Linked DNA regions of Saccharomyces cerevisiae S288C. The gene in region 4 interacts genetically with the main gene of each other region. Each region holds a gene or a part of one and is shown on either strand. Other genes may lie near its edges.

Evidence for each region.
Region 1: mutations in HBT1 (region 4) and TFS1 together harm fitness more than expected from each alone (negative genetic interaction), as found in Saccharomyces cerevisiae (one large-scale study listed by BioGRID).
Region 2: mutations in HBT1 (region 4) and EMA35 together harm fitness more than expected from each alone (negative genetic interaction), as found in Saccharomyces cerevisiae (one large-scale study listed by BioGRID).
Region 3: mutations in HBT1 (region 4) and YLL056C together harm fitness more than expected from each alone (negative genetic interaction), as found in Saccharomyces cerevisiae (one large-scale study listed by BioGRID).

Annotation. Positions count from the first base shown.
Region 1 is NC_001144.5:512,193-515,870, forward strand, and holds TFS1 (Tfs1p), read right to left. Parts: upstream 1,630-3,678; coding exon 970-1,629; downstream 1-969. Other genes in the region: YLR177W (uncharacterized protein), read left to right, coding at 1-748; YLR179C (uncharacterized protein), read right to left, coding at 1,916-2,521; methionine adenosyltransferase SAM1, read left to right, coding at 3,070-3,678. UniProt on the Saccharomyces cerevisiae protein: Specific and potent inhibitor of carboxypeptidase Y.
Region 2 is NC_001135.5:300,474-304,044, reverse strand, and holds EMA35 (Ema35p), read left to right. Parts: upstream 1-1,823; coding exon 1,824-2,774; downstream 2,775-3,571. Other genes in the region: YCR101C (uncharacterized protein), read left to right, coding at 1,015-1,563; YCR099C (uncharacterized protein), read left to right, coding at 2,746-3,213.
Region 3 is NC_001144.5:26,787-30,405, forward strand, and holds YLL056C (uncharacterized protein), read right to left. Parts: upstream 1,520-3,619; coding exon 623-1,519; downstream 1-622. Other genes in the region: JLP1 (sulfonate dioxygenase), read right to left, coding at 1-208; YCT1 (Yct1p), read left to right, coding at 3,323-3,619.
Region 4 is NC_001136.10:56,301-62,069, forward strand, and holds HBT1 (Hbt1p), read right to left. Parts: upstream 4,106-5,769; coding exon 965-4,105; downstream 1-964. Other genes in the region: WHI4 (Whi4p), read right to left, coding at 1-46; FMP45 (Fmp45p), read right to left, coding at 4,572-5,501. UniProt on the Saccharomyces cerevisiae protein: Polarity-determining protein which forms a conjugate with the ubiquitin-like modifier HUB1. Involved in bud site selection and cellular morphogenesis during conjugation. Required for survival during stationary phase.

The DNA.
Region 1 (3,678 bases), on a different chromosome or scaffold from region 4:
GAAAAGGGGCGATTTGGTCATTATTGATGGTGATCGTGGTAAAGATTTAGTTTTGGTGGTGGAACCGGTTGTAGATATAAATTTGGCACTATTTATAAATTTTTTGAAGAAAAAAATTCACTTTGATTCTCTAATCACCAATAGTCAACAGCATTTCCCCAATGACCAGTTTATCAAGACTCTGGTTGATACAACCAATGGTAAGCCGGTCGCTCATGAGTTGAATCCGAAGTTATATGATATCATTGAACTAACGCAATTGATCATCCCATCAAAGCAGGTTCTGAGATTTGCCACCCCGTGGGAATCCTCCACGAATTTACACAACAAATTCCAGGATGAGCTAAAGGCTCTTCACATTGCACAGCTAAAACTGAGGTCGCTAAATAACAATAACTCCGGTGGCGGGTTGAACATCAAAATATTGAATGCAGAGTTCCAATTCGACAGAAAGAAATTGACTTTCTACTACATTTGCCAGGAGCGTAATGATTTCAGAGACCTGATCAAAGAACTCTTTAAGTTTTACAAAACAAGAATTTGGCTTTGTGCTATACCGAACAATTTATCGATAGATTCCAAATTTTATGATTCAAACAAGTTTGAGTGGGAGATGTATCAGGATATGATGTCCCACTATTCCATGGACAACACTGGAATTGTCGTGGCCCCTGAACTGAATCGCTTGAAACTGGACGACTTCCAGATCGGTGTTTATATGGAATTGGTGAAGGTTTTGTTCGGCTAACCCAAACTTATATAATCATTATAAACATTTTATAAACTTATACACTTTTTTAATAATCTCACCATGTTTTTCTTATGTGTTTTGTTTGACAATGACATTACTCCCTACAAACATGTGCGCGTTTGTGACAAAAACATAAATAAAACAAAAATAATAAAAAGTCAAGTGAAAAGCACTGAAATCTAAAAAATAAATACATATACATATATATATATATATACCTATTTCGTTTCCGCATAGAAGAAATTGGAGGCAACTAGTTGCAGGTTGTTTTCCTTAGCCCATTTGCCAACACCGGTGGCAGGGGTGCCGTAACCCCAGTTCGGTCTATCCTTAATTTTCGAGAACTTAGATGAGTCCACGCCCTTAGGCTGCTTATATAACAAGAAAACATATCTGTGGGGACCGGATCCCTTGGGTGGAGCTGGTCCCATATATTCTATTAGTGTGTTCGAGCCCTTCGTATTGAACTCTGATGCAAAAAATTCGGTTGCTCCGGAGGTCTCGTGAGTAGCCTCATTCAACAGCTTTAAGTCGCATTCTACCAAGTGGCAGAATTCAGACCACTTGTGATCTGTCTTAGAGGGAGCATCCGGATCGGTCATTACCAGTGTGAACAAATCGTCGTCTTGGGGAACGTACGCATTCGCCTGTGGTACGCTTTTTTGCATTTGCTTATTGAACGTGAACTGGAATTGGGGCTTGGAACGTGCCTTCTCAGTGGGCAGCGTGTTACCCATGGCAACAGGTGCACTTGATGAGTACTCTACGGCAAGTATCCCGGAGGGTTGAAAGCTTGTGTCATGAATTACATCCTCCAGAATGCCGTGCTTCTTGTAGGAGTCAATGCTTGCTTGTGCGAAGTCTATTGCTTGGTTCATGTTTTTTGCTTGTTCTCTTGTTCTTGTATTGATGCACTGGTAGGGAAAAGGAGCACTGCAATTCGTTTCTTGCTGCCCCCTTTTTATATACCAATTGAGATCTTTCCTTCCCTGAACAGCCCCTCTATCCCTTAAAAGATAGAAAAGTTCAAAGGGATAGGAAAAATCAACGAGCCAAAAAAAAAAAAAACGGAACCGTTCGGCATGTATATATTCACTATTTCATATACGCGTTTGCACAATATACTCTATCTTATCCGTATCTATACGAGCCGGTTGCTGCACCTTACATGTCATAGTTGAAATCAACGGTCGTGTTTTCGACCATGTAATAATTGGCACCGACCAGTTGCAGATTGTTCTCCTTGATATAGTCATAGGCACCCGCACCAGGAGTACCGTACCCCCAGGAGATAATGTTCTCAACCTTGGTAAAAGTGGACGAATCCGCTCCCTTGGGTTGCTTGCACAGGAAGAACACGTATCTGTGATAACCGGAGTTCTTTGGTGGACCAGGCCCAATATAGTTATTTCTCACGACACCCTTCCCCGAAATGGCAATATCTCCCCCAGGTCCGTACTCGACAGGAATATCAGTGATGATGTAGTGACAAACCTCCGACCACTTATGTTCTGTTCTAGAGGGCGCGTCCGGGTCAGTCATCAACAAAGCGAGTTTATCCTCGGCTGACAATTGGCTTTTATCGAAGGGCGTGAACTTGATGGTAGGAGCGGCTTGCGTAGCTTCCATTGGCATGGGATTGCCCAATTTGATGTCGTCAGAATCAACGTACGAAACCGACAACTCACCAAGAATCTCGAACGCCAAGTCCTTGACGGTGTCCTTAATGATGTCCTCTTTGTTCAGTTTAGCAACGATGGCACTAGACATAATATATATTTCTATTACTAAGTACTCGGATGGGTACCGAAAGTGGCAGATGGGCAGTGTTTACTCAAACAATTGATGGCAACATTCAATTCCTCACCTGGTGCGCACTTCCAATAATGAGCACGCTTGGCACTTTTATATTGTTCAAAAAAATGTCAGGCAAGATCTTTTGAAAAAAAGGTACCGAAACGGACGTAAGACGGAAATAGAATTTGAAGATAAAGTTATATATCACTACACACGAATACTTTCTTTTTTTTTTTTCACAGGAAAACTGTGGTGGCGCCCTTGCCTACTAGTGCATTTCTTTTTTCGGGTTCTTGTCTCGAGGAAATTTTAGCCTCATCGTAGTTTTTCACTCTGGTATCGATGAAAAAGGGAAGAGTAAAAAGTTTTCCGTTTAGTACTTAATGGGATTGGTTTGGGACGTATATATCGACTGGTGTTGTCTGTTATTCATCGTTGTTTTTCGGTTAGCTTCGAAAAAAAAATAGAGTAAAAACCAGGAATTTACCCTAAAAACAAGAAAAAATAAGATAAACGAAAATATGGCCGGTACATTTTTATTCACTTCTGAATCCGTTGGTGAAGGTCACCCAGATAAGATCTGTGACCAAGTTTCCGACGCCATCTTGGACGCTTGTTTAGCCGAGGACCCTCACTCCAAAGTTGCGTGTGAAACCGCGGCAAAGACTGGTATGATTATGGTCTTTGGTGAAATTACTACCAAGGCACAGTTGGATTACCAAAAAATCGTCAGAGACACCATCAAGAAGATTGGTTACGATGATTCCGCCAAGGGTTTCGACTATAAGACCTGTAACGTCCTTGTCGCCATTGAGCAACAATCTCCAGATATCGCCCAAGGTGTCCACGAGGAGAAGGATTTGGAAGACATCGGTGCCGGTGACCAAGGTATCATGTTTGGTTACGCCACAGATGAAACTCCAGAGGGTTTGCCTTTGACTATTCTTTTGGCTCATAAACTAAACATGGCCATGGCTGACGCGAGAAGAGATGGCTCTTTAGCGTGGTTGAGACCAGACACCAAGACTCAAGTCACCGTCGAATACAAGGATGACCACGGTAGATGGGTTCCACAAAGAATCGACACCGTCGTCGTCTCCGCTCAACATGCTGACGAAATCACGACCGAG
Region 2 (3,571 bases), on a different chromosome or scaffold from region 4:
CTCTTTAAGAATTCTTACCTATAATAGCGGCTCGCTGTCCGAACGATTGCGCCGCACTTTTCTGCCTCTTACATTCCCTTTTCCTAAGGCGATAAGCAGGCTGAATGGAAACTACGATATAACGCAGTAGAGGTCCCCCAAGAGCTGGAAAGAAAATATTGGTTTGATAGCCAGCACTATTCTATCCAGTGGGCTCTTGTACCATTTTCTGTGGTATGGCTTTGATTCAACTGCATACGTAGTTAACGCGATCAGCCGCACATGGGCATTATCATTTTCAGGGGTACTGGTAAACCCTATTGTTTAGAAAGAATACCTGGTAAGCGGGTCTGTCGAGTCTTTCCCACTAATTTTGAAGAAAAAATCTTTACCTAGTTTGAGAATAATCGTGGCGTTCGTAACATCACGAGGTGAGAGAGACCAGTTAGGTAAGGGTATGCCAATAAAAGGTTATTGATACTTCAACGAATCTTCATATTAAAAGTGCCTTCACCAGAATAAAATTCTAACGTCATCCTAAAAAGCATCAATTGGACATAGTGAGGGAAAGTTTTCACCATTTAAAATCTATTCTGCAGAATACCATTCTAGACTATGATCCCTTAAAGATTCCCATTCTTTAAATATACAAATCAGGTTCAACAGCGTATCTTTATGGTATTATCGTACTACTGGCGACATTAGCAAATCCAAGTATCCTAACTAGGTTTCTAGTCTTATCTCTTGGTTTTCTCCATTAGATGGTAAACACGTTACCTTGATGGCTGTACAGGAAGTGAACATGGTCAACTCAAAGTCACCGGACTCAAAATAATTGCAATTACCTAGACTGGATATTTTTAGAATATTATGAGAATATTTTTAGAATACTTGCAACCCAAAATATATTTAAATGCCGCCAATTTGCAACCAAAAGATTATCCGCTACCTTTTTTTTAGTCATTGAATTGTAGCATAAAGTTCCGAGCTTTGAAAAAAAACTTTGAACTAAGAAAAGGTAAGAGATCCTCAATTATGATATTACTTCATGCCATATATACTCTTTGGGTAATTATACTACTTCCGCTACTCAATGCAGAGAAATTTGTCCCAAAAGTAACGGAGGCTCCTATAGAAACATCATTTAATCTAGTGAGTTTTGATGATTCCAACACTTCTATCAGATTAGATGGTTGGGGGGTTGTATGGATAAGTTTCGACGCTGGAGAAAATTGGGAAACGGTCAAAGAAATTGAAGAGCGCATTTTCAGATTTACTGTTGATCCTTTCCATGGACAGGAAAGAGGTTTCGCTTTTATATGTGAATCACCCAAATTCTACATTACCGACGACCGTGGGGAGTCATGGAGGGCTTTAACTATACCCTCATCAGAAGAATATTTAGATGGCGACTGTTTTATAACTACTCATCCTAGAAACAAAGAACTTCTTATTGCGAATTGCTATAGCTATATGATAGACGCAGACGTTTTATATGACCCAAGTGAAATTTACTTGAGCAATGATGGGAATCCTTTTTTAAAATTAAACCTTCCTTGGAAAAGAAAAAAGACGACGATATAACAACTTAAAGCTGTCATTTCATTAAGTCTAGCAAGGATTCTGACTTTACTGGTAATGATACTTCGATACTCTGTTTGTTCTCTAACCGTGAATACGATGAAGAATATCGCTTAACTGCTACCTACACACAGTTGGCTTTCAGTAGTGATGGAGGCAAAACGTTTAAAGATTTTGATGAATTTAAAGATAAGATTGTTACTCAATACAAGATATTGAAGTCATATGTGGTCGTTTTAACGCAAGATGACGGGCATAACGAGATGTCATCTACGGACATCTGGATATCCAATGATGCATCTACTTTTCAAAAGGCACAGCTGCCTACTCAATTACGGCACGTCAAAGTGATTAAAATTCGTGAAGATTCTATCGGAAGGATCATCCTTCTTATATCGACAGAAATCACAAATGAGGAAAATGCTGATCCAGATCTCTCAGAGATTTTCATATCAGATTCGCAAGGGTTGAAATTCTCACCTGTTGAATGGACACCAAACCATCAGTTTGGAAATTTTAGGCTCACTTTTCCTGATTTCTTGAAAGGGACAATATTTGGATCGTTTCATCCTTCCATTGACTATTCTAATCACCAAGTAAACTATACTGAAAATATAGCCGGAGGAGAAACCAAAATATCCGTTGATAACGGCCTCACATGGTCAAATTTGAAAGTTGTTGATGAAGAAAATGCCGATTCGTTCGGCTGTGATATCACTAGGCCTGAGAGATGTTCACTTCAGGGTTATTTTTACAATCTAAAACTTTCAAATCCTTCTGCTGGGATCATATTAATGACAGGTTCTGTTGGCGATGACAATGAATTCGATCGGAAGGACCGAAAAACTTTCATTTCTAGAGACGGTGGTCTAACATGGAGGGTGGCCCATAATTCTTCTGGATTATATGCTACTGGTGATCTGGGAAATATTATTGTATATATCCCGTCTCCTTCATATAAAGATGGTGATGTACAATCCAAACTTTATTTTTCCTTGGACCAAGGTAGAACATGGAATCAATATGAGCTTGTTGACGCTTTATTTTATATCCATCCATTAGAGTTGATTAATACAACGCCAGATGGATCAGGCTCAAAATTTATTTTAAGCGGACATCTCATTACTACGGCTAGTCAAGAAGGAAACAACACCAACATCTCATATATTGCAAGAAGTGTCCTGTATGCGATCGATTTTTCTGCTGCATTTTGACTATAAAACGTGTGAAGAGGAAGATTTCGAAGACTGGAATTTGGCAGATGGGAAATGCCTTAATGGCGCCAAATACATGTATAAAAGGAGGAAACAGGACGCCCGTTGTTTGGTAAAAAGGACATTCAAAGATATGATTTTGCATGAAATACCTTGTGACAGTTGTACTGAATCCGACTACGAATGCTCTTCTGAATTTGTTAGAGATGCAAAGGGTGACTGTATACCAGATTATGATCAGATTGCCCTTTCCGATATATGTGACAAAGCTAATGGCGAAACTGTATCATTAGAGCCATTACAATTAATTAAAGGAGATAAATGCAAAAAGCCCATGGAAATTGAGGCCATGAACATTCCATGTGAAAAAATCCTGAGGGAGAGCTCGAATGGTAAGAAAATAGCAACCATTGAAAACAAGTTTGACTTTGAAATTTAATTTTATCAATATTTCGATACAGTTTTGGGTGAATCTTTTATCATGCTTAAGTCAATAGAAGATGCCTACATACCTCACGATATGATGAATAAACAGTAAAAATGTTCGACACTGACGACAAAAAATTGACACTATTCGGGACTGATGTCATATAGAAACATAAGGTCTTACTATTTCGTTAATTTATTATTGTGATATGTATTTACAGTGTAATATGAAGTTGTGTTTAAACTATATTTTAATTCCAGGGTTTATTTGTTTGGCTCTATGAGTAACATTTTCTCAACTCAAGACAGAGGATGCTTTTCTATGATGGCTAAATTGCCTGAAACCAGACAACTAGGCATGCCACCAGATT
Region 3 (3,619 bases), on a different chromosome or scaffold from region 4:
GATACTTCGATTTCTCTCTATAAGATTTACGGATTTTCAATAAACCAGATGGAGAGACCTCATCTTGGCCATCATAAAAATGGGTATCAAAATTCCCGTAACCTTGCTTGGAGGTATAATTCAGGTTTTTCAACCCATTTGTAATGATTTTGACTGGTAAATCGGTAGATGGAAGAGGGATTGCTGTTTGAGCTGCTGCAGGAGACATATTTTAACTGGGTTACTGTGCTATGTTTGTACAAGTATGAAAGGGCCGATTATACAGCAATAGTACACCTTTTTATATGTTTCTGTCATCAAGAACTGTTACTGACTCCTTAACTTTTCCAGCATTCTTGTTGTATTGCCTACATACCTTCTTTATGTTAGTAGTATGATAAATAAACTCCATGTGCCCTGTGGCGCCAAATAAGAAATCGACTCAAGCCACATTGAGGCTTTTGTCATCATTCCCCTATATACTAATATAGCACCTTTCCAAGGGCCAAGAGCTCGTCCAATGAGACGCATGAGTTGGGTATTTTAAGCTGCACAGTAGACTATATAGATAAAGCTAACTAGTATGTAAAAAACGTTACATGCTATGGCGCTCTTAGAAAAAACGCATAATATAAGCTTCAAGTCAGTTTAAGCTATAGTTCGCACGGATATCTTCAAGAAGACCGATTTGTTGTGGCTGCCATCCCAGCTCTTTTCTGGTACCTTCGCTTGAAACTGGGCCATCTCTAGTGACAAAACAAGTGAGGAAGCCAAAATGACTTTCCGCGTCATCAACAGGGATAGAGGCCACGGGAACATTCAAAATTTCTCCAATCACACGCGCAATATCTTTGAATGGTATACCTTGTTCACCAACGCAATGATACACTTGTCCTGTTTTTCCTTTCTCTAAAACAAGTCTGAACAGAGGAGCCGTATCCAAACGATGTACAGCCGCCCAAGCGTTTGTGCCTTGTCCGACATAGCCAGATTTTCCGGCAGCTTTGGCAATATTCATTAATATTGGTACAAAAGCCTTGTCCCCCTTGCCATGAACCGAGAATGGGAGTCTGACAATTCTTGCTGAAACACCTTTGTCTTTGTAACTCAAGGCAACCTGTTCAGTGACAGCACGCAAAATTTTGGAATCTTCATCAATACCATCCTGTTCGTTAGCAACTTTGTTTGGTCGCAAAGAAAGTGTACCATTCGTATATAAGAAAGGCTTGTTAGAACCTTTAAGTGACTCTAGCATAGCTACAGTGGCCTGACGGTCAATTTCGCAGCACTGTTCAAAATTTTTAAAATCATGCACAAATCCTAAATGAATAACGCCATCAGATTCAGTGGCACCTTTTTTCAAAATTTCCAGATCCTTGAGATCACCGCGAAGGATTTTTGCAGCAGGATCAATCGACTTAATCTTTGCAGCAGCCTCGTCTGACCTTGCCAAGCCAACAACTTCATGACCCGAGGATATTAGTTCAGATAATACGGCAGAACCAATGAAGCCAGAAGCACCAGTTATAAATACTTTCATTTTTTGATCTCTTTTTTATTTTCTTTTGTAAAAGTTGAGTTATCACGCCTTAGCGCTTATGAATACAAGAGTGATTGTAAGCATAGTTGATAGAAGCGGGAGCCGTTATTTATACGTTAGTTGAGTACTTGAGGGTCTTCATCGCCTACTTTTTTTCCTTAATATCCTTGTGTTAGTAATCATATCTTCAGGAAAGCCAAGAACTAATGGCAAATTAAATCCGCGGCTTTCCCTTTAAACTTTTTCCAGCACAATCTATTATGTTGAGAAGTTCCGCTAATTTCCGCATTGGAAAAAGAATCTCATCTGCAAAAACGATGGTTTCTTTCTTCCACGGAAGACTTATGTCCGTCCTCTCTATTTTCATATTGTTCTTTCTCTCTCTTTTTGCATAACGTCACAATACCCTAGTGCTACCGTCATTGGCGCAGCATAAGAGTATTGCATTTCATGTCTTCAGATTTTGCCTCGCGAAAGAGAAAACACTAAGAGGTGAAAAACAATAAAATTATGTTCCAGTGTGTCATACGTGAGGTTTTATCACGGGGCCACCGTTCTCATTGGTTACTTGGTTGTAAATGCTTTGCGTTGTGATAAATATATGGCATGAAAAATCATATGACTTCAAAAATGAACAGATTCCAGATGCCAAGCCCGCTTTCCTTCGGCTAACTAGATGCGCGCTCGCCCTTGAAATCCTTAATCAGCACAACTCAATTGTATGGACGTGAGCTCTGACTTTTGCTTCCGACAATTAGGCCTTTCATATCTGTCCTTCTGAGATGTTATGTATCATGCATTTTGTATACACTATGCAACACCCTTCGCAATGGCGAAAGCGGAAAGTCATGGCACCATCAATCGTGCTCTGACCAGTATGTAAAAAATTTCTTAAGCCTCACCATGTTACAGATTGGCCAGAGCATCTGGATATTCACCACACCTGATTGGGAAGACTCATAGTTTTATGAAAGATTTCTTCAGAAAAAATGACATGCTGATTTTGTCTACTTGCGTGTGCTTTCAGTTCTTTACCAGTACGATTTGGTCACGTGACACGCGATCAACTACATTCAATCCATCTGCCCCTTGCTGGTTCCGAGTATCAATTCTAAATTGTGGCTACCACTATAGCAATAGTACGCCAAGCTCGGATGCAAATCACGGATATCTTCTTAGCATCCGAGTTCAACATCCGAGTTCAGCATCCGAGCTTTGCGGCGAAAACTTAACAAGATAACGGATAATCAAAGTTCTCTGTGATGTTACGGAGTCTTTGGTCTGCGCTGCTGACTAAAATAGTGTGACACAACGTACATAGCGCCACCCATATTGGCCGATAAGGACCAGACTTGTGGCGATGACTGTTAACTCTCCGCGAATCTTTTTCGAAGTCGCAGGTGGCATTGCAGAAACAAAAATGTGTGGCTTCTGAAAAAAAAAATAGGCACCCCATTTGATGTAAGACATCTGGCTACCCCTTGTACATTTCAGTCACTGAGCATCGAAGGCACGTCTTTGCAGCATGCAATAGTGTTCGAAGTTCTTCCATTTACGGTGGCTCCCCTCACTGGAACGGTGATGTAATATGTAGATAGCTAAAACATTTCGCAGGTCCCTAGGAACTGGACGTCAAGATGAATAGGTATTGTTAAAAATGCGTACCTGTTGAATTGAAGAGGTCGGAAAAATCAAAGTACTTAAACAGACGATTGATTCGACATTTAGCTATTCAGGTTGCACTTCTTGAAGGTTGAACAAAACATCAAGAGAAAATAAAAAAGAAAATATAACAAAAAAGAAATGTCAAAAGTTGACGTAAAAATTGGAGCAGACTCGATCTCCTCTTCTGATGAAATCCTAGTTCCTTCGAGACTCGCTGATGTTACGCTAGCATTCATGGAGGAGAATGACGCAGCAGTTCCAGAAATCACGCCTGAACAAGAAAAAAAATTAAAGAGAAAGCTTTTTCTCACAATATTCACCTTTGTCTCTGCCATTAACCTTTTACTTTACATGGACAAAGCCACTTTATCCTATGATTCGATTCTAGGCTTCTTTGAAGATACAGGTCTTACCCAAAATACTTACAATACTGTA
Region 4 (5,769 bases):
GAAATTTGGATTCGTTTAAATTCGTCTGATTATGCACTAATGACATTGTTAATTGAGAAACCTTAAGCGTTATTTTTCAGCGTAGATGTGGCAACTAAGGTTCCTGTTTTCAAAAACCCTGCTTTTTTGAAAAATGCTCGAAAAATAAAGAAAGAAGTCAGTCCCTTGTTTTAGCAAAGTGATAATTTGTGAAATATGACACAAGTAGAAGATAAACCTTTACACGCAGAAATAACAGCGGATTATATTTTGATTCTTAGATTTCCTAATTTCGTGAACTTTTAACTAAGAAGGAAAAAACAATTGAGATGAGATCCAAATGGGAGGAGTTTTGAAACAATTGTTTGCTATTATTTCAATGATTTAGTGTTGCCACCAGATGGGTCTATTTTCTGTAAAACTACCGGTTCGAGGCTCCTGCCGTAACCTTAATTGTACTTTTCTATGATTTAATCCAAATAACCATTCCATTCCTCTTTAAGTCTAAGAAACATTAAAAAACAAAAAACACCACGTCCGGGTAATGAAAATATAACGCTGGGTAATGCACGTGTTGATAATTACATCGTTTTTCACTAATATCGTACCAAACGAGATGTTTGCAGAAAGAACAAACCAATATTTTAAATAATCAAAAATCAAATTAGCTATTATTTCTCATTTGGTGATAATAATATATACATACATATATATATATATATATAAATATATAGGTATATATATAAATAACCTAAGACAAGTTAAATGAGTATAAAAAACCTTGAACGTAAATGAAAAAAAAAAAAATACTAGTAAATTGACAACATAAAAGACAAAAATAAATGAAAGAGGAAAGTGGTAATAAAGTGGTTAAAATTTGTTGTAGTTGTAGATAGGAGGAGTCCGCGTAGACAGTTATTCAAATTCAATTGAGGAAGAAAAATAGATTTCAAAGAATACTGGGAATTTGTTAATCGAGAAGTGTTTAAATTTCACTCCTAAATCCAAAAGTACCGCCAGAAATACTTTTTCTCACTCTACCCATGAAACTTTGTTTACCAGCCTGTTCCTCACCTTGCTCGTCGTCATGGTAATCTTGCTCACCCTCATCGGAACCGTACTGATGATGTCTTGGAGTGTGCTCGGCTGAATGAGTAGAATTATTATAGTCGTAGTCAGACCCTTTTGAAGAATTCTGTCTGCTGTGACGGTGATGATTGTGATGATGTTTTGATTTTCCGGAACCCATTGAACCCACCGACACTTTCCTTCCCTGAGAAGTTGTTTCATTATGAATTGAATAGGAAGTGGTTTCTGGGTAGGTGCCCTCAGATGGCTTTTGAGAACTAGAGGTGTTGGTGTCTTTAAATCCGTATGTTGGGACATGTGGGTCAATCAAACTAGGGAAATTACCAACTTCGGCAGCATAAGCGTTTGAGGCGTCGGCACCACCAAGGTCGGTTCTACGTTTGTTCTTCAAATCTACTTCACGCTTGTAGCCCGGTGCGTCTTCCTCTAAAACTTTCGCATTCTTATTGACATCAATATTATCGTCGCTAGAATATTCTTGATTTTGGGAATTGCCGCCAGAACCGTAACTGGCCTTTTGTTCTGATGATGGTTCCTGATCGTGAGTCATTCCAGTAATATCTTGTGATTTGGCATATGTAGGGTCCGCATTTTTAATATTATCGTAAGCAGCTGTTTCAGCATCCCCTGATTTGGAGTATGTAGTGTCTCCAGATCTGGAATTATCAAAGGCAGCAACATTAGCGTTTTCGAGATGAGTGTCTGTATTTTTACTATCATCAAAAGGGTTCGAGCTGAAGGTCTTGGATTTTGCACCCATCCTTCCGGTTGTATCTACGTTTCCAGTAGTACCTGTTTCCGGATTATTGGTGAAATCCTTGGCATCGGATGCAATATCCTGTGTTGTTTTTGCTCTTCTTGGCTCAATTTGGTCAATAAAATTAGAACGCGTTGGAGTTGGGCCTGATTTATTTTTGCTTAAATCAGATAATTTTTTGTTACCAGAAGTATTCGAGTATTCGTAATTGCCAAGACTCTCATCTCTTGCAGTCTCCATACCAGCACGGTTAGTGGTTTGCCTTGGAGACAACGGGTCTTCATCTTGTTTTTGCACTGATTTTGACAACGTATCAGGTTCAAAAGTACCTGGGATTTTCTCTCTCTGCTCATAATTGTAATCCGATGGTTTTCCCTGGTACGCTTTCTTAGAATACAAGTCGTTTTTCTTTGCATTTGAGTAGTCGTCAATATCATTCTCGTGGTAGTCTTCAACATCATCCAAATAATCCAACCCATATTGATGAGGTTTAGTAGAATCTTCATTCATATCTTCGTCCTTCATAGCAGGTGATACAACATTGTTTCGGGTGGTGGCATCATTAGAAAGCCCGGACCATTCTGCTTCATGACGGGGTGACATGTCAATATTGTTGTTCGTATTTTGAGAACCAGCTTGTGAACCGGCAACATATTGCAAGTTATCCCTACCATTATCATTATACTTCATATGTCCTAATTCGGTTCCCGCTTTAGGCATATTCTGAGATCCAGATGTACCGCTGTCGAATTTCTCCTTCATACTAGAAGGTATAACAACATCCTGCAGATTCTTATTTTTACCAGCGCTGGAACTATATTCAATTGGACCCCAATTAGAATCCGTCTTGGATTTAATGTTTTTCTGTTGATAATCATCGGCGGATTCCAGAATGTCATCTCTTTCAATGTTAAATTTTTCAGCCGCTCTTTCTGATATATTTTTATTATCAACCTTATTCTTTTCTGGGTGTTGAATGTTTTTATTGCTATCATGATAAGAAGGTTGCTGGCTTACAAAACCACTTGTCCCGACTGCTGCTTTGGGTTCAGGTTCCATAGTTTGCTGTTGGATTGCATCAGAACCAGAAACTTGGTCATTTTTCAATCCAGTTTGTTCGCTCTCATCCATCTTCACGTTCTGTGCAATTTCTTTAATTGTATCTTGAGGAGGACCAGTCGCAGTGTTGCCAGAGTACTTTCTACGATCTGCAGACTTCGAACTTGTGTCCGTGTAGACACTAGGGTCGACAGCGTTCATACCGGAACTAACATTACTCTTTGGGCCTGTACTTGTGTAAACACTAGGATCAACAGGGTTCACATCAGTACCAGTCATGCCCCGGAAACTACCAGGTATGACATCTCGATCTGAGTTGGAATCAGTGTTCGAATAACCCTTCGTAGCTGAGGAGTTATCTTTAACACTTGTATGTCCATGAGTAACTGAAGGGTTAGTTTTAGTACTGGAATGATCCTGTGCAGCAGCGGTGGATTTAGGACCAGTGCTTGAACCAGAGTGACCATGGCTAACAGGGTGGGTAGTTTTGACGTTGATATGTCCATGTGTAGTTGCAGTGGCTGATGGACCAGTATTCGCTTTAGAATGCTCATGAGTATTGGTAGGAGATGTGGTTTTCACACTGGCATGACCATGTGTGTGAGTGACAGGGGAAGTGGTAGCACTGGAATGACCATGCGTGTGAGTAACAGGAGAAGTGGCAGCTTTGGAAGTGCTGTGGTTATGAGTGGTTGCAATACTTGGATGCCCTGCATCACCTTTGGAATGTCTATGCGCAGTGGGGGACGCCTTTATATTTGAATGTTCATGGCTAGTGGGAGGTGACGTTTTCACTTTGGATTGCTCACTTGTAGCAGCGGGTGTCGTTGTTTTGACATAAGAGTATCCATGGGTAGTAATAGTAGCATTAGGGCCAGAACTTGACTTGGTGTCGGCAGAAACAGGGTTCACATCAGAAGTTACGTTGGCACGGCGGTTAGCGTCCGCCTCAGTGTCTTCGTGTGGAGTTTCCGAGTCTTTATTATGCTTCTTCCTCCAAGGTAACAGAATGTTTTTAGCCTTGGTTTCCAAATTCTTGGACGTTGATTCGGGCTGTTCTTTTGGTAAGTTATATTCGGTCGGCTTTGTAGTACTGAAAGACTTTTTGCGTTGAGCAGAATCTGAATTGGAATCATAGGAACCGGGCTTACCACCAAACGAAAAATTATTTTGTTCTTCTTCGCCTTGACCATCTTTGGAAATGGACTCGTTCATATTCATATCTTGGGTTGGGTGATATTCTTGATAGCTCTCCACTGGGAAATCTTCACGGTGTTCGGTATTATTCTTATCTCTACAGTTACATATAAAAAAAGGTGTTTTTGAGTTAGTTAGTATTATATATTAATTTTCTTGAGGGGGTGGTATTATTAAAGAATTAAATTCAATATTATTACTATTAATTACACTAAGGTGCCGGGTATTATTGACGTTTTTTTTTTCTTAGTCTCTTTAATGAAGAAGGAAAAAGAACTAAGTTATTATTAGAAGGAAAAGGAGGAGGGGAGGCGAGAAAGAATGGTGGAGAATAAATGAAAATCTCCAAGAAAAAATTTCAGCACGATACATATGGATTATACCATGTCACAAAAAAATATTTCGGTTGGAGGTAGATGCAGAGTTATGGTACTGCGAATGTAGGAAGAAAAAAAAAATTAGGAAGTATTTTATGGTGATTATTTCCTTCCTAGTCGCGTACCGTCACTGGCCCGGCAAGACCACCATCCCCAGCTGGTTCTAACTCAGCTGATGGCACCTGCTTTCTTGTTTTCAGTTTTTGAAAGAACTTGCCATTGCCAGCCGGAGTAGTGGTGGTTGTAGGTTGAGGCTGTCCAACCACAGGTGCGGCTGTGATAGGGCCCGCGCCGTCCGTCGCCCCACTATTGTAAGTGGATTTCTCCATTTGAGCACCGGTGTCAACAGAAGGGCTTTCATATTGGGCATACATGTCGTGGTCCGAGTAGGTAGAGTGGGCCTTGTGGGTAGCACTGAATATAGTGGACCAAATGGCGTTCACGAGCATCAAGAAGACCGAAGTCCAGATGAACGCAAAGTTTTTGGGTCCCAGCCTTGCAGACCTCCCGCTGTTGCGGAAGGTCTTTCTGGCCTTCACATAGCAACCTGTGTACAAGCATGCAGCCAATATAATGAAGAAAAAGGCCAACCAGGACAACACACAGTACAGGACTGGCACTGCCTTGAAAGGAAGGAAGGTAGCCAGAAAGCCGGGTACCAGCGCCAGTACGATGAAAAATAGGGAAATCAGCAGCATGGCCCATCCAACCCTGGATAGATAATAGTAGGTATCCCGGTTGTTTCTGAACGACGATGGTAAATTGACAGAGTTACCAAAATTGTCTCTGGGAGAGAAAGGCTTGGCGGGCGCCCTGCTAGAGCAATTAGCTAGCTGGCCGTCTTCGTAGCCGCACCAATTGTAATTGTACCATCTCGTGGTCGATGGAGCGCTGTTAAAGCCGTTTGTATCAGCCTGTAACCAATAAAAATTTTTCAGCGTTCCAGATTCTCTGCCTCCTGACAGAATAAGAAAAAACGTCAATAAGCCAGCACCGAGTAGGAATAAAAACACAAGCAAATTAACGAACCTTTTGAAAATCATAGCGGTAGATTATAGTGATTAGTGTTACTTGTTACTTGGATAAAAAGGAAAGTATAAGCGTTAAACGTAAATACCTCTTTCTTTTTAATTCACTTCAAAATTACTGTACTTAAAGTTTGCATCTAACGGATAACTAATCAAGAGAACAAAGCAAGATCAAGTAACTGTTGCAAAGCAACCATCCTTTTATATGTCGGCATCTGCGCCGAATGCTCCTCCCCATTCCAGACTATCCTTGTTTTAGCATCAAGAAGGAAGGAAGACCTTT